Oreochromis niloticus: one gene and its partner. The protein of the gene in region 2 interacts with the protein of the main gene of each other region in a biochemical or structural test. Links are inferred from orthologs where the notes say so. Each region holds a gene or a part of one and is shown on either strand. Other genes may lie near its edges. The genes, in order: pqbp1 and wbp11.

What was found.
Region 1: the proteins of wbp11 (region 2) and pqbp1 form a complex in vitro, tested with the Homo sapiens proteins (2 studies listed by BioGRID and IntAct, with this or other methods). The link is inferred for Oreochromis niloticus from reciprocal best matches to the Homo sapiens genes WBP11 and PQBP1.

Annotation. Positions count from the first base shown.
Region 1 is NC_031984.2:10,671,575-10,683,333, forward strand, and holds pqbp1 (polyglutamine-binding protein 1), read left to right. Parts: upstream 1-6,793; 5' UTR 6,794-6,923; intron 6,924-8,111; 5' UTR 8,112-8,112; coding exon 8,113-8,179; intron 8,180-8,276; coding exon 8,277-8,388; intron 8,389-8,651; coding exon 8,652-8,752; intron 8,753-8,931; coding exon 8,932-9,150; intron 9,151-9,235; coding exon 9,236-9,293; intron 9,294-10,269; coding exon 10,270-10,420; 3' UTR 10,421-10,699; downstream 10,700-11,759. Other genes in the region: cacna1fa (voltage-dependent L-type calcium channel subunit alpha-1D), read right to left, coding at 1,149-1,205; voltage-dependent L-type calcium channel subunit alpha-1D, read right to left, coding at 1,413-1,618, 2,412-2,430; timm17b (mitochondrial import inner membrane translocase subunit Tim17-B), read right to left, coding at 3,982-4,067, 4,743-4,853, 5,041-5,169, 5,301-5,364, 5,449-5,548, 6,768-6,793; gpkow (G-patch domain and KOW motifs-containing protein), read right to left, coding at 10,888-11,019, 11,113-11,198. UniProt on the Homo sapiens protein: Intrinsically disordered protein that acts as a scaffold, and which is involved in different processes, such as pre-mRNA splicing, transcription regulation, innate immunity and neuron development.
Region 2 is NC_031969.2:9,050,258-9,062,578, forward strand, and holds the start of wbp11 (WW domain-binding protein 11), read right to left. Parts: upstream 4,839-12,321; 5' UTR 4,650-4,838; intron 4,080-4,649; 5' UTR 4,057-4,079; coding exon 3,993-4,056; intron 3,875-3,992; coding exon 3,843-3,874; intron 3,743-3,842; coding exon 3,649-3,742; intron 3,389-3,648; coding exon 3,192-3,388; intron 2,885-3,191; coding exon 2,751-2,884; intron 2,643-2,750; coding exon 2,485-2,642; intron 2,390-2,484; coding exon 2,156-2,389; intron 2,025-2,155; coding exon 1,899-2,024; intron 1,796-1,898; coding exon 1,514-1,795; intron 1,363-1,513; coding exon 1,177-1,362; intron 1,084-1,176; coding exon 395-1,083; 3' UTR 1-394. Other genes in the region: uncharacterized protein C22orf31, read right to left, coding at 6,162-6,348, 6,457-6,758, 6,915-7,034, 7,982-7,990. UniProt on the Homo sapiens protein: Activates pre-mRNA splicing. May inhibit PP1 phosphatase activity.

The DNA of each region.
Region 1 (11,759 bases), on a different chromosome or scaffold from region 2:
GTTAACCGTGTTATATTCTCAAGGCCCAAGCCTCCTTTCTGAAGTCTGATGAAGGCAGCTCTATATGATCAAAGCACCAGCGTCTCTTTGACGTTTATAGATAACAAGACTTCCTCCATGTAAGATCTTTCATCAAACATTTCTTCCTCTTCACACGTCCTCCAACGATATGATCTCTTCATCTATTTGACTTTCTGACACCACTGCCAAGTATCCACAGATGTGTCTAAAAAATGAATGAATCTGTCATGTATCCTGCAAATTAAGGAGTAAAGGTGAAGCACTGGTAAAGACATAAATTCACTTTCCTTCCTTCCCTTCTATGTAAGGCTACAGACCTTCTCCTTTCTGCACTAAGTTGGGTTTCCCTTTGCAGGAGTCAGGATGCCTGATGTATACTCCTCCACACAGAGGTTACATAACGAGCTATACATTGTCTAGCATTCCTCTTGCATGCTTTGCCCCTGCTTAAATGTCTAAATAAATACTTTATCTGCAGACAAAGTCTAAATTGTGCACTTGTTGGATTTTTCATTTAATAGTAAGGTTTTAGACTTCTGCATGGCTATATCTCTTTAAAGGCTCTCACCAGTTGCTCTAGCCCACAAAAGTAACGTGTCCTCGGGGACCTATTTTCCTGGCCACTAAAGTAAAAACCTAGCAACTCAACAAGTGTCAGAGTGTGGGAACTGCTGTGAACCAGAGTGGCTGGTAACTGTGTCTGATGAGTAGGGTTATTTGGTTAGGTAACAGGGTAGGCATTTGGACAAAGGCAGTTAGCGCTGGGCATACCCGCCCACTGTGGGTTTAAACAAGTTTTTAGCAATTCCTACTGGGATAATAATAACCTTTAGGAGCAGAGACTTGGACCCTTTAGACAGCGAGTTGGTCCAGTCTCTTCGTCACTGGCTTTTACCTTAATGTTTCTACATTAGAGATGCCATCAAAACATCTGAATAACAAAAATATGCCAGTTTGTATCACATACAGAAGGTGTTTGGTAAGTTATTCACTATCAAGCTGTTTTATTCATATCCATGTGTCCAAAAACATATCTTTGACCCACACTATCATCTGTGATCTGGCATATGATGTAAATTTTTGGTAGCTTTGTCAAATAATTTTATATTTGTTCACTGAATACTTACTAGTTTGTGGTTGGTTGGGTTGGAATCATCATCTGGAAACGGCTTGGTGACACCCATGGCCACACAGTTGGCAAAAATGGCAAGAAGAATGAAAATGTCAAAGGGCTTGCAGACTCTAGTTAAGGCAAGAGCGGGCCTTGTGAACGTATCTCTCCAGGAAAATATATGAACCAAATGATTATTAATAAATGTGCATCATATGCAGGATTAAACATACACAAACCAAAACACACCACATGTGCAGAGAAAAACACTGCAACCCTCTCAGAGAAAAGGATATTTCCACTCCACCAGGGCCAGCGCTGCCATCCGGATGGGGTTGCTAAGGGTGAGGCAGCAAAGAGCTCGGGGGGCCCTGAGGGCAGACTTGTTTGCCTGCATCGCCTTCTTGGCGCCCCCTCCTCTTTTTCTGACCGAGCCAGTTGACCCGAGGGTGTCTGATTTGCCTGCATCGCCCCCAGGGAGGGCATCTGAAAATAAATAAGTCAATATATACATAAAGATTAAAAAGGCAGGGTGAAAATGTGCATTTTCACACACAGTGAATGTTAACTGTGTTGGGCATGGGTTGGGTTGTTTTACTGTAAGTAAGGATATATACATGCAAGATAACAGTTTCTTTTGTTTGGGGGCGTAGATTCAGTGTAAAAAAAATGCAAGTTAAAGAATGTTTTGCCCAGTTCCAGTGTGCATTTGCAGTCCTGTTTCAAGTCATGTTACTCTAGCATTGTTTATGCGAGCTCAGATTTTATTATCTAACACAATTAGGAAAGGATTTGACATGTGGCTGTGGCAACAGGGAGGTATTCTGTCCTGGAGGCCTCATATTATAAGACCAGATGTGACCTACTTCTTTAGTGGGAGCAGTGTGGCACTTAGCCCAGCCCTATCCCCAAGTAGACCCACGAACACCTGTTGACAAGGCACTGCACAGAGAATAAGCCTGAGGGTACTTTTATCATCCCATCCGTGAACAAACTAAACGAGTAGCCAAGACATAAACTGTCTGCCCCAGTAAGAAAACTTTGAATATGAGACCAGCTGTGCATTTTCTGGTTATTATAAAAGCCCCTTTTTTAATTTTACTATTTAGGTTTTGTTACTTTTCAGAAAAGCGTCATGACAAAAATGTTTCTGCTCATCTTGCGTTTGTCTGTTTCCACTCAGAATAGCTTTACAGTGCAATAAAACATAGCAAATGTTACGCGTGGCTTTGCAGTGAAGGCACACTAAGCACATTCCTGTACGGCTGACAGACCATACCTTTCTTCGCCGGGTCCATTTTCGCAGGTTTCGCAGGTTAACGCCACGAAATCACTGAAGAAAACCACCATCAACTCCTCACAAAATCTGTGATGCGTAATGGATCACAGATTTGAATTTGGCCCCCAAAGAGAGAAGGAAAAAAAATAAGGACCATCTGTAGCCTGTCATTTCATATCCACATGCAGAAAGCCGGTGCAGCTGAGAGGCTGCGGGCCATTCTGTTCACCGCCTGTTTGTAGCCCATAAATCCAATTAAAGCCGCTTTCTGGTCATTTCTTGCGGTGAGTAAATGAAGACTGCAATTAAGTTTATCTATGCGGGCACACAACGGTGAGGAATATTAAAGCAAACGCGTGCATATATTCGCGGCGGCCAGCCGTCAGGATTAAAGTAGTTGAGCCGTTTAAAAGGATGACAAGGGAAATCTTTCAAGGGGAAGGTGGAGGTGGAGGTGGAGAAACTCTCCGGCTCTGTGGGAGTTTGCTGCGATGTTTTAGTTTTGAGAGAGAATAATATTAAGAAAATAGTCCATCAAGATGAAGAAAACAGCTGCAAGTTGAGACCCCAATATTCAGGACCTTGGAGAGAAGCAGCCACTGTATGCAGTACCGGAAGGCCGGCGACGGGGGGCGCCAGTCAGCAGTAAATCACAAGACTGCAAAAATATTCATCATATTATACATTACCTGAAAAAGAAGTCACAACCATGAAAACAAAAATCGATCACATTTTTAAAGATTATCTGAAGCTTTATTATTTGTAGGAACATTGTTCACAGTACGTTTATTACGATAAATATTTGCTGACAGTTTGTAACCAGATCGATTTGATAGAATTTTTTTGTGGATGGTGCTAATTTCAGGAAATAAGAGACTTTCAGGTTTTTAAAAAGTGCTTTGTTGCTTTATGCGGCAATTAAAGTGACAAATGGTGCACAGACAACAGACTAGACAAACACTTATAATCAACAAAAACTAAAAAAAAAAAAAAGTTTTGCTGAGTTTCTACAAAAATAAACTCAAATGTCCTCTTTAACACCTCACAGGTAAATAAATATTAATGTTAATATTCGAATAAATATCTTTCTAATGCAAAACTTTAAAGATGTGCAGTTTTCTTATTTTAACTTTCTGCCTTTCAGTCATTAAAATACATAATCAACCCAAGTATAAGATCTTTGGAAGCATAAAGCAGTTTTTGGATAAAACTAATTTGGTTCCTTGAGCAGTGTCTCCAAGAATACAAATGGGCTGAAAATTATTTATTTTAATAGATACATGTTGCTATAATGACTAAATTAACTTACTATGTGGTTTTGAGAACTACACATTGAAGAAAATAATAATAAATATTGAAAACATTGATTTTTCAGGTGGTGCAAACATGAGGAAATTATTAACATTTACTCATAAATAACTGAAACAGTAATTTGTCCCTGAGGTATGTATTAGCATCCAGTAGGGACCAGTATCTCCACCTCTTGGTCATCCTGGTAGATGCTGTTCATGTGCTGGCATTCCTATTATCCTTTCAGTTGTCCACAGCTGGCTTCAGTCCTGAACCTTCTCTACTGAAACTGCCCCCTTTGCCCCTGATGTTGATGATCTCCATCCTTTGGCGGTAACTGACTAGGGTCGTCTGCAAAGGGAATTGCTGGAGAAATCAAGGAAGAAGACACAACAAAGTCAGTTTTTCATGCTTCACTGGCATGTAATCAAGATATAATCTATGTTTCCCTCAGGAACATTTATATGAATATTACTACTGTCTAGGTCTGCTGTGCTTTCAGGCTTTTTGGTTTGGTAGCCTTCCCTCGGCTCATCTCATCCAAAATAAGATATGTCTCAGCAGGTTATCTAACTTGAGCCGTGCTGGAGGAAACCTGATGCTCATACATTTGACTGGTTATTCACAGTAACACTAAAAAAACTATTTTAATAGTCTCACATTCTTCAGCATTTTTTATAAGTTGTTATATCATTAACATTGTGAGAAATTGTGTTCTTGGGAAAAATTAATCAAACAGGAAACACAAATTAAACTGCACAAGAACCTTGAGAGAGTGGACGATTTTCCTCAGGTTCTTTAAAACATTTTGATAGAAACAAAAAATGCTACGAGTGTGGTGAGGGTGAGTAAAAATGGGACCAGTGAGATGAAAAATGTTGCCCTATGCCGAAGTCCAGCCATAACTGAGGAGTGGACGCCAGTACAGGGGTATAAAACCACTCACACATTTAATCATGTGACATTTTGCTAAACTACTGATAAACCATTGGTTCTGTGCAGTTTAAATATCATTTCTGAAACATAATTAACTTCACTCACGGTTCTGAAACTGCTGCGCTGTGTATCTGGTTAGGAGAATCCCAAAACCCTCAATGAGAGCGAGCAAAATCCCCCCCATCATTGCAGAGCCCATCATTGTTAGAGGTCCACCTGAAGAAAAATGCAATATTCAGCGAGTCACACTAATTATCCCAATGTAGAAACCCAATTGTAAAAAAAATTGGAATTTTGTTTACATTTTACACAGCGTGCCAACTTTTTCAGAATTGGGGCTGTATTTACTGACACAGAGAGACACAGTGGTGTCTTGTTTCTTTTGAGCTAATGAGCTCCTTACTGCGTGCTGCTAGGATGGCTCCAGTCAGCGCACCACTGGTTATAGAGTTCCAAGGATCCTCTTTCCCTCTCAGACGAACCAAACCACAGTCGATTGTGGAAAAGAGCCCTCCCCATACAGCAAAGCTACCTGCAACATAAGAAGTAACCAGACTTCAGCTACTTGTATGAAGCTAACTGTACCTAAACAATTTAATCTACACAAAAAATGGTATATTACTAACTAACTGCCATGTGTAACAAAAAACAGGAACTCCTTACCTCCAATCTGTGGAGCTCTAACTCTCACTGCTTTTGCACTCCCTTTCAGCCGGTGTCCGACACCCTGAAATATTAGAGCTCAGTTGAATTCTGCCTTTAACAACCTGACAAGCCAGAGAACAAACAAAAACCTGTGTTTTGAACTCACAGCAGGGGCATTTCGAAAGCCCTTGACCGCCTGGAACACCCCTCCTCCAATTGCACCCATTGTGAAAGCACCTCCACAGTCATCCACTATCCTCCAGGGGCTGGGTTAAGAGAGAAATGGATATTTATGTGACAGGAAAACTGACAATGGGGATATATCTGACAACTAACATCCAGTACATATACAAAATGCAGAAGTTATCTATCGGGGTCTGGATGACGCCGAAGACAATATGGGCACAGTTCTGGCCGAGAAATGTATATTACCCAAGGATGAAGAACTAGCTCCTTAAATATAACTAAATACTCACCTCTGAGTTATGTTTGTGTTAGAAAACATATCAAACATCATAAATGAATATGTCAAACAGCAGTGAAAGAACTAATGAGGTGGGGAGAAGGGAAGTGACAATTTAGTATTCTCCTGCCATAGCCCAGGTTTGATATGTTGTCCATTCAGAGATGCTATACTGCACACTTCAGTTGTAAGGAGTGGTTATTTGAGTTACTGCTGCCTTCAGTTCAAAGCAGTCTGACCACTCTCATCTGATCTCTGACATCAACAAGGCTTTTTCAACCATATAACTGTTGCTCACTGGATATTTTCTCTTTTTCACGCTGTTCTCTATAAAACCCTAGAAATTATTTTGTGGGGAAAAGGCTGTAGTTAAACATTTTCGAAAATATTGAAAAGATCGGCCATTCTGGCAAAAACAATCATGTGATGTTCAAAATCAATAAAAATCAAATGTTTGAACTTCTCCAGCCTGAACTTCAGCAATGCGTCATGACCATGTCCATATGTCTAAATGCACTAAGTTGTTGCCAAGTGACAGAATGTAGGTTTACATTAATAAGTAGGTGGACGGGTATGCCTAATGAAGTGGCTGATATCTGGATTCTTTATCCCGTTCCTTTGAACTCTGTCATTAAAGTTTGACTTGTAGGGGATCAACCTTGACTGGAGGTGTGTCTTAACTTGATAAATAAATAAATAAAGCTTCATGTACTGCCTGTTTGGAACCATATTTTGAGATTAAAATACCCACTATTTTTAATTTCTATCCTAACTCCAGCTGTCACTTAAAAACAGCGACATTTTCAGATAAAGGTGACTCTACCAGCTTATTGTGTGTGCAGAGGGCGCCTCCATATAACAGCTTTATCTTTTTTATATGCCTTAAATAAGCAGGCCGCAACACCCACAGAGCCTTTCTGCTCACTCTCACATCAAAACTGAGTATGAAATTAAAAAGTCAACACTTGACTCCAACTTAATTAGTTCTAAAATAAAAACAAACGCTTAAATTCTAATCTTACCAGGGCTCTCGGGCATACTCCTCCATGTCTGTTTACGTCGTCGTCTTCGTCAAGAGGACGTGATTACGTCATCATTAAGCGCGCCGTGTATGCTGTTTTGGAAAGAGGTATCGTTAGCTTGACGATAAAAAAGGGCCACCTTTTTTTTAAAAAAAGGTAAGAATTTAATTATTTCTTATTGTTCAGTCTTTTGAAGTAAAGGTTAACATTTGTGTTTGTGTGGTGTGGATGCTTTTTGGAGACGCATAGTTTGGTTTATTGCGTTATTCTTACATCTGCAGCCACGGATGCACCGCAAGCGTGTTAGTTTCTTGTTAAAGGAAACATTTCGTATTGTACATGGTACAAATTATTACAAAGAAAACATATATATATATATATGTATGTGTATATATGTAAATACATATATGGACATACATATAAGACAAGGAGCTAGTAAAGTTTTACCTGGAATTCACGTAGGATGGCCATATAACCTAAGAAACTGATTTATTTATTAGGATTGTGAAGTTACTTTAAGTTTTATGAGCAGAGGATTACTTTAAATGATGACAGGACACATAACAGTTCAGGAGTTTAGTCATTCTAAGACCTACCAGGATGCATGCTTTAAACTACAATTCATGGATATCATTGTGATATCGACATCAAAACAGCCAGCTGTAATGTATTGCAGGAAATGATGGTCTACAGACGTGACAAGTCTGCTGCAAAAATGTGGTTCTGGGCAGTGTTAAAGCTGCTGTTGATAGAATTATTACAGTAAAGGCATAATCTCCGCTTATCAGAAAACAAGAAATGTCCTCAGAGAAAATGGACAAAACAAAATAATGATAATAATAAGAAGAAGATGAAGAATAAAAAACAGGTAAATATGGGAACTGTTTCAAAACCAAGTGTTCAGTAAAGTGTGAGATGAATAGTGGACCAAAAATATTAAACTTAATGATGATTAAAAAAAAACAAAATTAACAGACTTGCAATTTTGTGTCTAATATATAAAATAACCCATTAAAGTAATGAAACTGTTACAAAATGTGCTTATATTAAAGATCACTAAACTATATAATGGTGGTAATCATGTGCATTTTACTTTATGGCCACATGTGACTCAGTGGTTTGTGTGTAAGTGATGAGTTTCTATATGTCCTAATTAATCAAAGGGTACATATTATTGAAAGTAAATGATATGTATTATATTATCTGATTTATGACCAATCTAAGACTATTTTAATACTGTGTAATAATGTGTTATGAGCATTTGTTCTGCAACTGTTATTTTGGTACCCCAAGTGAATTTCAGCCGTAATATGAACAGTGTTTCACATGGACTCCGTCTTTCAGGATGCCTTTACCTCCAGCACTGCTGGCCCGATTGGCCAAGAGAGGGATTGTTAAACCAACAGAGCAAGGTAGTATAACAGATTTCATATTTGGGTCTCTGTCCTTCATGGATTTCTCCTAATGTTTTGTGCTGTTTAAAAACCTTTTCCCCTTCAATTAATCCAGGGGCAGATGAGGAGATTATTGCTGAAGATTATGATGACAACAATGTAGATTATGAAGCCACCAGAGTGGAGAATCTACCACCAAACTGGTACAAAGTGTTTGACTCTGCTTGGTATGTACACTTAATATACTATAATTTAATATAATAAGAATTTTATACTTTAATTCAAAATGATTATTATAAACTTCACAATCAGAATGCGCTAATTACTTTTTCTTTCTTGTTTCTCATTTTATTCTTGAGAAGTCAAATTCTCCTTGAACATTATAACTACTGTCATGGAGAGCTAAAGTGTATTTTTAAACTGTTAAGTAAGTTTTATTTAATTTTGTGGTTACAATATTAATCACTAATGTTTTATTTTCCTTACACAGTGGTCTACCTTATTACTGGAATGTCGAGACAGATATGGTTGCCTGGTTATCCCCAAATGACCCAACTGCAGTAATAACAAAACCTGCCAAGAAAATAAGAGGTATGCTTTTATTCAGCCTCTATAATGTAATGTTTTCAAGAGGCACTAATGATCACAATTTCAGTCCTCTTACAGTAGACGTGTGTTACTTTGCATGTACAATCTCAGAATACAGTTTGCTTTTGACAGATTTCAGCCATGGCTAATCTTGTGATCCTTGCCTTAACTTGTGTTTTTAGTAGAAGGAGGAGATGAAAAAGGCGAGAAGCAAGTTGAGAAACCAGACAGAGACAGGGACAGAGAACGACACAGAGACCGGGATCGGGAAAGGGATCGAGATCGGGAAAGGGACAGGGAAAGGGACCGGGACAGAGACAGAGAGCGTGATGATGGGAGGGACAGAGACAGAAGAAAGCAGAGAAGAGATGAGGCAGCACCATACAGTCGAAGCAAAAAAGGTAATGTTTACATCTGATTCATTACATGTTTACACATCGGCGCCTTTCACATGATTAAATATTGAACACCTAATATTTTTTACAGGTAGAAAAGATGACGAGATGGACCCCATGGATCCAAGTGCTTACTCTGATGCTCCAAGGTACAGTACAGATGGTCACCTTGATATAAGCTATATACGGGTCGTTCTCTGGTACTCCGATTTTGCCAGAATCATTGTGTTGCACTTGTTGAAAAAATAGTTATGAGAGACAGATCAAATCAATTCCCATCATACATTTTTATCTTAGACGAAAGAACTAAACCCTCACACAGCACAGCTACAGTGTTCGAGTGTGTCCCCTCAAAATTCAAAATGGTAATCAGCAAAGTTGATATCCCTGGTTTACGGAGCTCACATAAATCTACATTTCATGCAAGGCACAATACCTCAACAAGAGGCAGATTTTATTGCAGTAGCATAATGTTCATAGTGAACTGGATTAGGTTTCCTCCCATTTTCATAAAAGATGCTCTGCTAAAGAGGAAAATATATACAGGATTGTAGCACATTTCCTTAATATTTGACCAAATTTGACCAGCTTTTATCACAACTCACTTATTCCCTTAAGCATAAAATAAAGACTTGTAGAAAGGCCTCATATCCTTATGAGCTCTCAGCCCTCAGAGTGGGAACGTGTGAACACTGGGAAGGGGCCATACACTTTATTTTTTTAAAGAGCATTTTGGCTTGGCATGTCAGAGAAAGCACAGGTATAAAAACAACTTAAAGAATGGCTCCATACTACTTCAGCACGCTAGTTCCATACCCCTTGTATGTGCAGTCAGTCTTATTGTTGCTGTAAATGCAACATACTGTAGCCATCATTAACTAAATTTACCCCATTTGCAGTTTTCCTGCCACCATGAGCCAAATTCTCTGCTGTGAAAATGTCTATTAAAAAAATCTACACCTCCAGGGTTTCTGTTAAAAATATTCCTAAAACAAAGCTGAGATTGTCATTGCAATTTGATCAAGGTTGTTTTCTCAGGCTTGACAAAACCCCTTCTCAGCCACAGAAGACATTGTAGTGCTGATTACAAATGCAGTTAAAACACAAACGTATTCATTTTTGCAGGGGGTCGTGGTCAAGTGGGCTGCCCAAACGCAATGAAGCAAAAACGGGTGCAGACACCACAGCAGCGGGGCCTCTCTTCCAGCAGCGTCCGTACCCGAGTCCAGGAGCTGTTCTTCGGGCTAACGCAGCAAACCAACTACCCAAGGAGTAAAAGCAGATACCATGAAGACAGCATCTTAAAACCCACAACTCTACAGTTGGTCTTCATTATGCTCACATGCTAAACATCATAGTTTGACAGGCTTTTGTTTCATTGTGAAATGTGTACATGTCAGAAATGAAAGGCTGAACTTTTTGGACAGCTACTCTATTCATACTCCTGCCGTGTAGAGCATTTGTAAATATGTTTTTATATGACCCAAAGGTTCACTTCTCATTGTTACTAGACCTATCAGTGAACATGATAATAAACTTAAGACTACTGTGAAAATGATCTGTTGCAGCTTTTTCTCAATTGTTGCATTGCCATATGTACAAGGAAAAAAAAATCTTGACAAGTTTTTATTACAAAATTGAAATCTTTTAAAGTCCATAATACTTGAATAATGAAAAAAAATAAAACAGCTGGGATGAAGTGGATGGAAAAAGGACAGTGAATATTACAGTAAACATCCGAAATCAGTGGTCTGCTGCTGCCCCAACATAGTGACAAATGGAGTCATAGTCTAATGTGAACACTTTATCCTCGTATCTGTCGAGCTGGACCATCGCTCTGCACTTGTTCTTGTCCCGCTGAAGAATACGGCCAACCTGAATCAGGTGGGAAAATAGTGATCAGTAACAGCTAATCAGATTTAAACAAATACATATATATATGTAAAGCAGTGAGGTTACTTTGCTCACCTTTCCCTTGTGCTCACCCAGTACCACCATTACAGAATCATGTTCACTTTTTGGGACAATAGTTTCCAGCATGTCCTGCTTCACATCTGCCACAAGAAAAGAAAAAAGAAACGCTGGGTCATTCATTGAAGAAATTCTACAGTAATACCAACTAGGCAGCACTCAGGAATAGAGCCAGCAGATTCTGACATTTATGTTTGCTAATAACCAAAAAGGAAAAAGAATCAAATTAATCCCCAATCTGGGAAGTCTGGTTGTCAGATTTAAGTCAGCAGACCGACCTCTCAGGACAACAACCAATGCTTCCACTATAGCCAGCAGATATCTGTGGTAAGAAGTCCTGTTATTATTTTTGCAACAAATACATTTTAAAGAACAAATAAAATGTAAAAATATTATTCCAACTCAAGGTTATATTTTGGCAATAACAATAATCAGTAATCCCTCGCCTTGCTCTTCAACAGGACCATTTACCTGTAAGTAATCTGCAAACAGATTCTTGTCCTGCGCCTAAAGATTCTGAGCACTTTTATGATGACATGATTTTAAAGTGACTGATTTGACATGATAGCATTGTGTAAAGTTAGCTGTTGGAAAGCACAACTGCAGCCAGAACAATATGAAGTTAATTTCAAACGAAACACAGA
Region 2 (12,321 bases):
TGGAGGAAAAACACAATTTCAGAGTTAAAAAACAAAACAAAAAAACAAAACAATATGCTGGATGTGAAAAAGCACTTCTGTGCAGAGCATAGTGTTCTTCTCTTGAATTGACTATGCAAGTTACCCAGTAAAATAAACAGATTTCTTATTCTTTTTGAAATGCACATTCTTGTTGATGCAACAAAAATCTAACCCAGATCAAATGAATGAGCCTGCAGAGAACAAAGCTGAGGGTGTAGTGGCCTTTCGCTGGTAGGTGACAGACAAACTGATTCTAGCTGAAAGCTTGAAGACGGCTACCTCTATAACTCTGCACAGAAAACACAAAACAAACACACTGCTGTTGTTCAGCTCGCCACACTGATCATCAGTATCGGCAGTACGCTCCCGAGTCTTAGAGGAGTCCCTCCATCTCCCTCATAAAGGCTTCATACACCTGGTCTTTAGTCTTCATGTTGGGCTGAGACACAGCACCCATCTGAGATGGATTGGCCACGCCCATAGGAGCTGCTGCGGTGTGCTGTTTCTGCCACTGGCCTACTCCCACACCTTCATCTCCCCTCCTTCCTCCAACAGAACCCCCTGCTTTCTCCATGGGCCCAGGTGCTGCTCCTGGCATTGCTCCAACCTTGTCCCTACGCACCCTCAGCGCTGTGGGCACAAAGCGGGTGACCTCTGCCTTGGGATTGATAATTTGAGGTTTGGCAGAGATGGTGGCCCCGCCTGCACCGGCACCTGCCGCCAGGTTGCCTCCTGCAGCTGCAACAGAGGTGATGTTTGCGCGTTTTTCGATGGTGGGCGCGTGGTGATGGCTGGGGGGATTGCTGCCAGGATTGGTGCCTGTGGAGGCAGCAGCTGTCCCAGGCGGAGGGGGCATCTGCATGACACCGGGTCGCATGGGCATAGCAGGGGGTTGCAGGTTGGCCTGTAAACCGTCCTGGCTGGATCCTGAGCCTTTTTGCCGCTGAACAATGTTTGGAGGAGCACTCAGCACATTCGAATTGAGAGGTGGAGGGAAGAGAGAGAGAGGTGGTGCAAGAGGACGCGGGGGCCCTCCAGCTCTTGGGGGAGGAGGTGGGATACCTACAAGGAGGAAAAAACATATGTGAGAAATGCATTCAACAGAAGTTCTCACTATTTTATATCTTTAGATTGCCTCCACACACATGTGCCTACCTGGTGGTGCTGGGGGTGGTAATCTGGGAGGTGGACCACGTGGTGGAGGGCCTGGTGGAAGGCCAGGAGGGGGGCCTGGTGGAGGACCAGGTGGTCGACCTGGTGGAGGCCCAGGAGGCAGAAGCCGAGGCATTGGAGCCCTCATTCCTGCAGGCATGCCAGGAGGCCTCAAGAACGGAGGAGCACCTGAAGATAACAGAAGATCTCTTTGAAAAAAACGATGCAGAGCATTCACACTTAGAGAAGTAGAAGACGCCCACAGAACAGGCACAGGAAATTACTCTAGTATCACTTCAGAATTGAAGCATTCAATCTTTTAGCTAATCAGAATGCGAACCTGGTGGGGGGCCAGGAGGTGGGCCAGATGGTGGACCAGGAGGCCTCATTGGTGGTGCCGGAGGTGGACCAAGTGGTGGAGGTCCTGTCATCGGTGGCCCTTGCATGTGTGGAGGCCCTTGCTGTCCCGTGGTCCCAGCTGGAGGGGGCAGTCGCTGATTGGCCATGAGATGGGACTGGTTGTCCCCTGGAGGGCCTCTGTCCTCTATGTCAGAGCTGTCTGATTCATCTGTGTATTCTTCCTCTACCTCTTCTTCTTCCTCTTCTTCAGGAACTGACTGACCTGAAGACAAAAAATAAATAAATAAAAATGCCATAGCATATCTCCATACAAAGAAAAGAAACAGAGGAGCACAAGCTTAGTAAGTGCTTAGCATTGACAGTACCTGCCATCCTTAACATCATGGCTTGCAGAGGTGTAATGGCCTTGGTCTTCTTCACAACCCTCTTCTTCTTCTTTTTTCCGTCACGGGGTGCCTCTGCAGGCATATCTGCGAAACGTACGCTACGACCTGCAGTAGTCAAACAATAACAAATTCAGAAATACAACAGAATACAAACAGTTGTAAGATCAAGAGATAAATAAAGGCAACAAAGACGTGAGCTGAGGCTTAAATGTGTTGAAGCAGTCAGAAACACTCACCACCATGTCTTTCACTTCTGTCTCTATCTTCTTCTCGTTCTCTCTCATCGTCCTGCCTGTCCAAGCGCATTCTCTGTTCGCCATCTCCCCCTTCATCTCTCTCTTCTTCACTGATGTCTTCAGAGTCGCTGTCGTCATCAATATCGTCCTGATCTCTGTCGCTCTCACTCCCGCTGTCCCGATCTCTCCCCAAATCCATTGCAGAGTCCTTTTCAAATCCAGGAATGGAAGGCTCTGTTCAAAGGAGAAATAGTGTAACAAGAAGAAATGTTAAATTATAGGTGAAAAAAAATCATTTGATTATCAGAGGGAAACTGGCTGTATCTCACCTGCATCTGTGCCGTAACCGCGTCGAGCAGGTCCATACAGTGCCAGGACCTGAGGAGGTGGGGGGCCAGGTGGAGGCCCAGGGGGCTTCTTCCCTGGAGGTAAGCGTGGGACACCTGGCACTGTTGCCAATGCTGGTCCGGAGGACGATGGTCCTTTACTAAGACATGCATAAAAACAGAATTAACTCAACTGCACATTAAAATTCTAAATGTCACATACGGAGTTTAACTGCTGAAACTTTTACTACTCATAGAATGAGTCTTACCCAAAAGTGGAGCTCTTCTTCAATATGGAGGGAGGCTGAGCCCCTGGTAATGGGATGTCCTGGATGTGGATACTGGATGGGGCATGAGGCATGTCTGGTAGAGGGATACTGTCAACCTCCACCAACTCTGCATTCTGAAAAAGAGGAAACGTCACACAACAGAGTAAACAGAGAGCACAACAAAGGATAAATAAGGTAATGGAGCACACATCTGAAGCACTCAAGCTCAAGACAAATAAAAGACGAGTAATGGGTTTTGGTGTCTCCCCAAAATTTTAATAATCCTGACTTTTAAGATTTTTTTCCAGGCCAACAAGGCGTACACAAGCCTGTAGGAAAATGTGCATACAATATACCTCTCATCCCTGCATCAATTCATGCAAGATTTATTATAAACTGAGGAACCCCGCCCCCCCAAACTGTCATGTAGATTCAACACACCTTGACTGAGTCAAAATAAAGAGACAGCTGCCCTCTTTTGGTCTCATAGTCCAGTTCAAGTTTGCGTAGCTCTTTGTAGGTTTCGGGATTCTCTCTTTCGTACAGACGAACAATGCGCTCAAATGTCTCACGCAACTTCTTCCTCTTGTCCCGCAACACCTTCTCATTCAGCAACGGCTGCTGAACTGGGTTGAACTCTGTTCAGAAACAAAGTAATTATTTTCATTAGAAAAGCAGCAAATGAATTGTAGAAATCAGATTTTGACTGTGATTTTCTGCTGTTACCTAAAGGCCTGAAATCCTTAAATACACACATGAATTATATATAGTATAACTCTACTGATACACGTGTTCCACAAGCTCAGGTCCTCTACTAGTGGCAAACATACAACTAAATAGCTACAACTAAATATATTTCTAACATGTAAACTCCATAAACTCAGCCCTGTCATCTCACCCATCTCATCCAGCTTCTCCATGTCTCTGATGATCTGTCTGGGATCCTTCATCTTCAGGACTGCTGCTCTCACCATCATCCTCTGCTTCTTGTTCTAATATTTCCAAAAGAAAATGATGTTACCATCATATTATCACAGTATTATTATCCTGCATATTTAGAATTATCTTCTTTTAAAAGTGAATGGTTCTAACCTTTTTTAACTCCCTTTTTCTGGCCTCCTTTCCTGTAGGAGTGGGGGTTGGGGGGAGAAAGAAATGACCATTTTTATATCTAATCAGCAACTGAGCATTCAGGAGATCAATTCATGATTGAATTAGCGCCAGTTTGTTATCAGCACTTACTGGCCTGGTCGGTGGGATTCATAAACTTCCCACTCTTGGTGGAGGAGGTTGAACGTCGCCCCATTGTGACGGTGGGTCTGCTTCACGCTGCCATGTAATACAGCAAAACAGAAGAGAAGATAAATGTAAAGGAAACCATACGTTGTTATTTTATGGTACGTTCAAAAACAAGTCGGAATTTGTCACAACGTAAAATAACACTTTTAGCTCATATTTATGAATCAATGACACTTAAAACAATGTTTGAATTCATTTTTGACAAACTGCAGTCTCCTTTTTGTTAATTCTAACTTCGATATCAAGGCAATTTAACCAAACTGTCTGCAATACACACCTTAAAGAACTTTACTGTTAGCTATTATTAGCAAAGAAGATAAGAAAGTTGACAATCAACGCACGACTCAATCTAAGCTCCCCCAACATCTATGTGTTACGCTTTTGCACAATTAAACTATTGAATGAGCTGAAAAACACCACAGAGCCAATCACACTTTTGTAACACAAACACACAGACATATATATATATATATATATATATGTTAAATCATGCCGGTCAAAAGCATTTGCTTGGCAGGTTAGCGGCTAACGTTAGCTTGCACTTATAGCTAGGCCCGCGTTAGCAACGAAAGCAGCACAGGAGGGAAAAATGCACTGTACCTTTTATTCAGTAAAAACTCACAGGGCACAACGCCCTACACACACGCACACCTCCGTGTGCCAAAAGCAATGCAACGCGTTTTGCGTACGCCCTTAAAGAGAAATCCAAACCCCCCAGAATTGAAAATCACACCGTGGCTTCGCTAACCGTCCGCCATGTTTACTGCCGCGAATGAAAGCGGAAAGGCGATTTTGACGTCATCAAAACAAGCGAGCAGTGAAAGAAAAATAAAACTAACTGGACAAACGGTATTATTTAAAACTTCACTTTATAGTATTTGTACATATACTAGGACTTTATTATTTTCATATTGTATGGCGCAATGTGGCTCTAACGATAACGAAGGGTGATTCTTGTTACAGGATCCAAGACTGCACTCTAGCGATACTGCCCCCCGATGGTTACAAGTAGCAATTACAACCTCACTGCACTGGTGTGCCAAAAAGTGGTCGTATGTGTTGGGTTGCGTATGCCAATCACTTTTTGCGTGGTTTTTTTTTATGTCTAGATATCTTTTTATGTTTGTTTTTTTGTCTAATATAGTTGCTTATATTGTTAAATAGGCTGCAGTAAACAGAGTTTAAAAAATGGGTTATATGTTAAATAAATCCAATTTGAAAGCAGCTCTATGAATCATTATATCCATCCATCCAGTCCTTTTCGGCCACTTGAAGAACATCACAGTTCTTTAAAGGACTGTGATTTTTTATAACTTCTGCAGCCCTCCAGGCCAGACCTCGTTTGAAAACGACATTTTTAATGTCAGTGACACCTTTTTACCTGAATAAATGAAGGCTGCATAAAAGTCACATCTGATGAAAAGAAGTTTCTTTTTGTATAAGACAGTCTGCAAACAGAATGACATAAATCTCTAGCATTCTGCACTTTATTCAAGGAAGTTAAGTAATGTGTTGTCTTTAAAAAGACAAACGTGCTAGTGAATTAAAGTTGGATGTTATGTTTTGTTCACAGTGCCTGAATATATATTATGGTCAACAAGGACTTCAAATTAGCCATTTTGATTCAGATAAATAATAATATAAATAGTGATTTTTCAAAATAAAAGTCCTATGGAGGTTTACAGTTTTCATCATGTGATCCAAAAATCTGTGGCTGTGTCCTGATTATGGTTGATGCGTTTTTAAAATCAGTCAGGCAGTCATGAAATAGTTTGAAGAGACAATTATTGAATGGAAATGCAGATGTCATCCAGCATCACATTTTTGTAGTACTGTGCAGTGCATGTTCTCAGAGAGTGACCTTAAACAGTTGTCCAAACACACAGTGGAATATAATATACAGACACACAAACTTGTGCAGAAATTACATTTTAATCATTAAAGTCACATCTGAACTATTTACAAAAACATTTGTCATATATTTACAGTAATTTTATCTACAGTTGATTTGTGTGTTTCACAGTTTTTGATTGTATGTCTTGTAGCAGTGCTCCTGCTGCTCTACATTCAGTTTTCCTTTCCTCTTTTGCTCGGTGGATGTTGAGGATGTGGCTAACTCGAAATGTCAAAATCATAGTTTGGGAGTTTGACTTTTTGCCCATACACCATGTCAATGTGTTCAAGTCCATCCTCGTTAGTTGATGTCTGCACCACAGGACGATTCAGTCTCTCCCACAGCTTTTTCTTAATGCGTCTCCCCAGCTCTAAACTGTAGGGACGAGGGCGGCCATTCTTGTACCTGCAAAAAGAAATTCAATCAAAATGATGCATGTGGTCAAAAACCTACTGTAACCATTTTAGAGCTGGCGATTTTAAAAAGTGACAGGAGATTTGGAGACAAACGTACGTCAGCATGCTATCTACCACCTCATGGTAGAGTCGCTGATAATCTTCCACTGAGAGATTGTGGATTTTTAAAGGGCTGTCACCGGAGCTGGTTGGCTGGTGGTCGGTACTGCATGGCTCGGGTCTGGGGGGCATTTTTTTTGCCACTGGCAGGTCGTCATGTGAGATAGCAGAGGGAGGCACCGAGTTCTTTCGAGGTTTAACCAAAGGTCGGGAAGAACTGGATGCTGGGCTTCGCTTCCTTTTCTGGGGCTGACTGGCTATTCTATCAGAGCGCCGGGGCCTCAGGGTTGAATTAATAACCTGGAGAAAGGTCAGAAGCACACAAGGGAATGTCAGTAGTTATTAATGACCTCATTTTTTTCAAACAAGACAAAAATTTAAATTTGATGAACGACATGGAAGTCCAAACTCCAAAATCCTTAAATGGTTCTGTTAATGAAATTTTACACATCCAACCTGGTCCTTGCTGCAGCATGGTTGTTTGCTGCAGGCTCTGGGTTTCTTTGCATCACGGGCCCGGCATGCAGTGTTTTTCATCCGATAATTATGGTCTTTGAGGTGAACGGGCACAGTAAGCTGCAGGTATACACAAAAATGACAGTAATGCAAACATCAGTTAGTAGTTCATGAAACATTTAAAAACAAACAAACCCTTTAATATGTCCAAAAACTACTTAAACCACTTGCATGGTTGAATAACTTGTCCACAGTGAGTGTAACGACAAAAAATATCCAACATGTTCACAGAAAATCATAAGAACTAAAACCAGGACAATGCATCAAGGTCAGTGTAATAAAAGACTGTCAACTTATGGGCTCATCATGTTAGAGCTTCACTGCTGCATACCCCCAAATGACATTTCAAATAATAATTTACATAAGTTAACAAACACCAAAGTCCATGTTGTATTAAACTCTAATTTCTGTTATAATCATTGCTGCTTATTGCCGTTTTTGAACAATGCAGATGCACAAAATACCTTTGTAACTGGCTAAGCTCGGTCATGTGTGGTTTAAATGATTTTGAGAATTCAGATGATGCTGAACATCATTGCTTGCTAATTTGTAAATAAACATTTTAGGGATTAGCTTTTCTACAGTGAATAAAGTCTCAGTGTTTACTTTTTTTATCCCCCCAAACAGCAACATGCACCCCCCCTGGTGATCATTATGCATTTCAGTTAATCACAGATGTAGGATACTCTACTTATTAGCAAAAACTGAACATTTTTTATCTCAGCTGCAAACTTTGGTGACATGTCTGCCACAAGATCATTTAATACACGCAAAAGAAAACATTATAGGTAACATGCAAGTTTAAATGATGCACAGTTTACCCTGTTTACAGCTAGAGTGCAACAGTCTAACATGCAAGCATAACTCCCACGTGTGTAGGCCTAAATTGGGAGTTTTTAATGCCTTTTATTCACATATATGTCTTCTATATTTTCACGTTGCCCTGTTGGCAAAGTGAACTCTTTCAAAACTTCCAAACTATATTGAAAACGGTCATAAAATCTCACCTTGTCCATGACGGATGATGGATGCTGGGTCGCTTTCCTTCGTGACGGTGGGAGTTGAACTCTTGTAAGGCTGCAAGAAGTCTTGAGCAGAAAGGTGTCTTACTTTTGCAGAAATTTGCAGAAATTTGCAGAAATCCCTTGTAGCTTTGCACAACACGTCGAGTGAAATGTGTCTGAACTATATCAAAAGATGCAATGCAAATAGAACCTGGGGACGCATAGCAACCACGCTCGCTTAAATCACGCTTTTTTGTACCTACTGTTAAAAATCCCTGTAATAATTATTTTTAGTGAGTTTTTCCCCCAGTTCAACTTTAGTTATGGCGGCTTTTTTTTTTTTAATATTTGGGCATCCACATAATTACTGCATCAAAGTGGTGCGTAATGATCATATGAAAATACGTCAGAACAGAGCAAAAGTGGTTTAGCTGCCACAGCATATCACATCAGCTCATTGTAATTAAAAATACTGGACTTCATAAGTTGTGCTTATTTTATAAATGGCCCGGAGAGTAGCAAATTCTCTCTTTCTACTCACTGTACTGAACCCGCTGCACTACCTACTTTGACCAATAGGTGTCAGCATTTTACCGTGGAAACAGCTATGCTTTGTACAGCTCCAAAGTCAATCTCTAGAGCGATGTGTTGCAGAAATAACTTCTTTCCAAAAGGTGTCTGTATAAAAATCTCTCTTATGCTCTGTCAGTTTGCAGTGCCTTAGTCTTTGGTGGTATTTCTGACCGCTCATGCTCATGAATCCACATGCAACGCACTGTCTGTCCCAGCCTCAGAAATGGATTTAAGACGATTTCTTTCGATATATCACCCTGTGGTCAGTTTTTGACATTCGTTTTGTTGCGGTCTTCAAAACAGAAAACAGTTACATCTGAGAGAAGATTTTAAATAAAACTAAAAGGGACAATTATATAATACATAAGAGACTTTATTGTCAGTGAGTCACTGTCACAGTATCACAACCAAATTAGGTGGTGCAAGAAAAAAACAAGAAAAAAACCCACAAAACAAAAGTTAAATAATACCAACACTAAATACTAAATTCTGAAATGCCTCTATGTTATAAATGTAAATGGTCTGGTTTTTATACAGCATTTTTCTGCTCCACTTGCACACTCAGAGCACTTTATACAACATGCCTCATTCACCCATTCACACACACATTCATACCTTTTTCTAGTGTGTTTTTTTTTTTTTACATAACATTGACATACATTCACACTCTACAGCGTTTATGGAATACAGTATATGTTTTCTTGTTGCATCAGTAAAAGAACTTTTTTTTCTTGAGCCCTTATCTGGAGCTCATCTGAGTTTATTTCAGATTGTGGGAGGAAAGAAAATGAGAACGCAAACCCCAGCTCATCAGGGGGTCTGAACAAGGGATTTTTTAATTTAATTTAATTTTTGTTGCTGAGAGGCCACAATTCAAATCATTGCACTGCTAACAAATACTTAACCTAAATTATAGCCAGAGTTCATGTTGCTTAACAAAGTGGTTTTAAAAAAAACAAAAACAAAAAAACGAATGCCATTATACATGGACTGTGCAACGTGGATTTCGGTAAGTGTGATTACCCACACAAATGTCTGTCAAAGAAACCGTTCATCCATCAATGAAAGAACAGAAGATACTCTGTTTGTTCAATGGCACACCTTCAAACCTGGTAAGAAGACCCAAGTGCAGGGCACATAAGGAAGGTAAATAACAAATATGCATCTTTACTGGCGTAATGCAAAAATAGGAAAAAGTCCCAAAGAGTAAACTAAGCTGTGCACAAGGAAATAAACAGAACAGGAATCCAACACCTGAGCACAAGAAAAAGGAGGATAGGTTAACAACTTGACAAAGGGGAAAGACAAGACTATCCACTACGAGAGAAGATGTGGGGATCTCGTATGCCCAGCTCTCCTCCACTCCCAACATACCCTGGAATAGCAGCTCGAAGAAGGCTCACAACAACATAAATGACTCCTCCCATCCAAAGTATAAGCTGGATCTAAACCAGGGATGTCAAACTTATACTACAAGGAAACTGCATTAAATTGGTGGGCCTAATTATATGATGAAACGCAGGTGAGAGTAATGAGGATGGGGCATTCAATCACAAAGGAGGGGAACAAAAGCAAGAAAAAGGCTTGAAAAAGACAGAAAAAAACCTAACCTACAGACTAAAACAGGAAATGACAAAAACATGAAAATCTAACACATGAAGACGAACATTACGGGCTGGAAAAACCAGAAACACAGCCAATGTAACAATGAGCAAACAGAACAAATACACTGCAGAAACCTGAAACTATGACATGTTAACCATTGTTGGCTCGCAGACCAACAGGCCCTCTGGCTGCTGGCAGAAGGGCAGAAAAACACATCTTCTCTCACAGGATTGTCACATAAGTCAGTCAGCCTCACGGAGCAATTAATATTACTCCTCATATCTGCTATACATAAATAATAATAATAATTAAAAGAATGCCAAATATATCCAAGATACTGAGAGGGGAGGGGATAAACTTTAAACAGTTAAAGCAGCACATCATCTGCTAAAGCCAGTGCCCTATTTTTCATATTTCAAGTAAGCAGTCAGAACCTGTACCAAGATCTTCATTTCCTCATGCTCCACCTCTTCACCCACTTTCAGGAAATTCGCCCTGATAAGAACCTGTATTTCCTTGCTGACAGATAATTACATTCTAATTAAAGCATGGGAAGCCCCAAGCATCCCCACAATGTGGTAATTTTACTTTTGAACCGCTAGGTGTTCTGGTCTTTGTGGCTGTACATCTATTAAACTTCTTAAAGGGGTTCATGTATTTTTTCTTAAACCAACAAGTATTTATTTGTAATTCATGCTCTGTGTTGATCATTATATCACTACTAGTGCTGATGTTAAATGGGTTCTGTGGAAACTATTCCACATGACTGAGCTAGAAGCAGTTTACCTCTCAGTCTAATAATCCCTTCATTGTGCAAGGAGACAGTTTTGGTAACCTAAACGAACATCAACATTGTCCTCGTTATGACTCACTGTGATTTCGTAGAACCAGGTGAATTTCTCCCAGTCAATCAGCAAAGATCAGGTTATGTGGCAGATAATGCCACATAACCTAAAGCGTGGAAGTACTGACCTTACTTAATTCCATAAAAAGTGACAAAAACATTAGCGTCCGCTGTACATTGTGTGGGAAGAACTCCCCCCCTCCCCAAACTTCTGAGCAAGTACCCAGCACGCTGCCACAGGAATGTGAAATTCACAGAGAAACCCCCGGATCCCCCCACTGACACCTCCGCCTGCTCCACTCCTGCTAAACAGGTGACAATAGATTTAAGAACGACAGGACTCAGTGCCGTTGAGTCTTTGATTTTATTTGTTTTCTGCTGTGTTTTACTTGCATCTATTTGAAAGAGTGTAAACACACAAAAAATTATTTTATTTTATATTCTGGAATATGCAGAAAATAGGTTTAATTGTTAAACAAATTTCTTCAATTCAAAGACTGTTGCATGTAATTTAATTTTTGCTTGATGCAATGTGCACAAAGTTAAAAGATTAAAATGAATAAAACAAGTTTTGAACACAGACTTTTTTATTTGATTCAGTTTTATATGATGGATTATGCAGAAAAAGTAGAATTGGGCTGAAAGGTCTATTGCTTTATTATCTATTCAGGTTGTGTATCATGTTTTTTAAAAGTAACTAAGTCACCAAGTAACTAATTACTTTTGAAAATAAGTAATCAGTAAAGTAACGGGATTACCTTTTTGGAGAAGTAATCAGTAATTAGTTACTAATTATTTTTTTCAAGTAACTTGACCAGCACTGGTCATCATAACATCAAAACTGACAGGGGTAACTTAATGAAACCCTTGCATTATCCAAACTTAAAAGATAATTTTTTAGAAATTAGTGAAATGTGTAGTATAAAAATGGTGACCTGTTTACTTAAAATTAGCAGCAGGTATTAGACATCGACCAGACGGATCTAAGGAGCCATTATACCTCTAAAACAAAACAAAACAAACCAAAACAAAACAAAACAACAAAAAAACTCCAGACAAACAGAAAAACTCCTAATAAATAAATAAACATAGAACATAGGTAAACAGGATATTTGATGTTGCCAGAACTTTGTATATCACTGTATAGTGATCCAGTGACAGATTTGACCCATTTATACATGATTTTCTTTATTCATTTATTTTTTTGTGACCTTATAATAGTTTTATTATACTTAAATCACATATAGTGGTGTTTACTTTTACTGTAAGTCTTATTACTGCTAAAATTAACGGAATAATTAAAGATTTGTAATTTATTTAG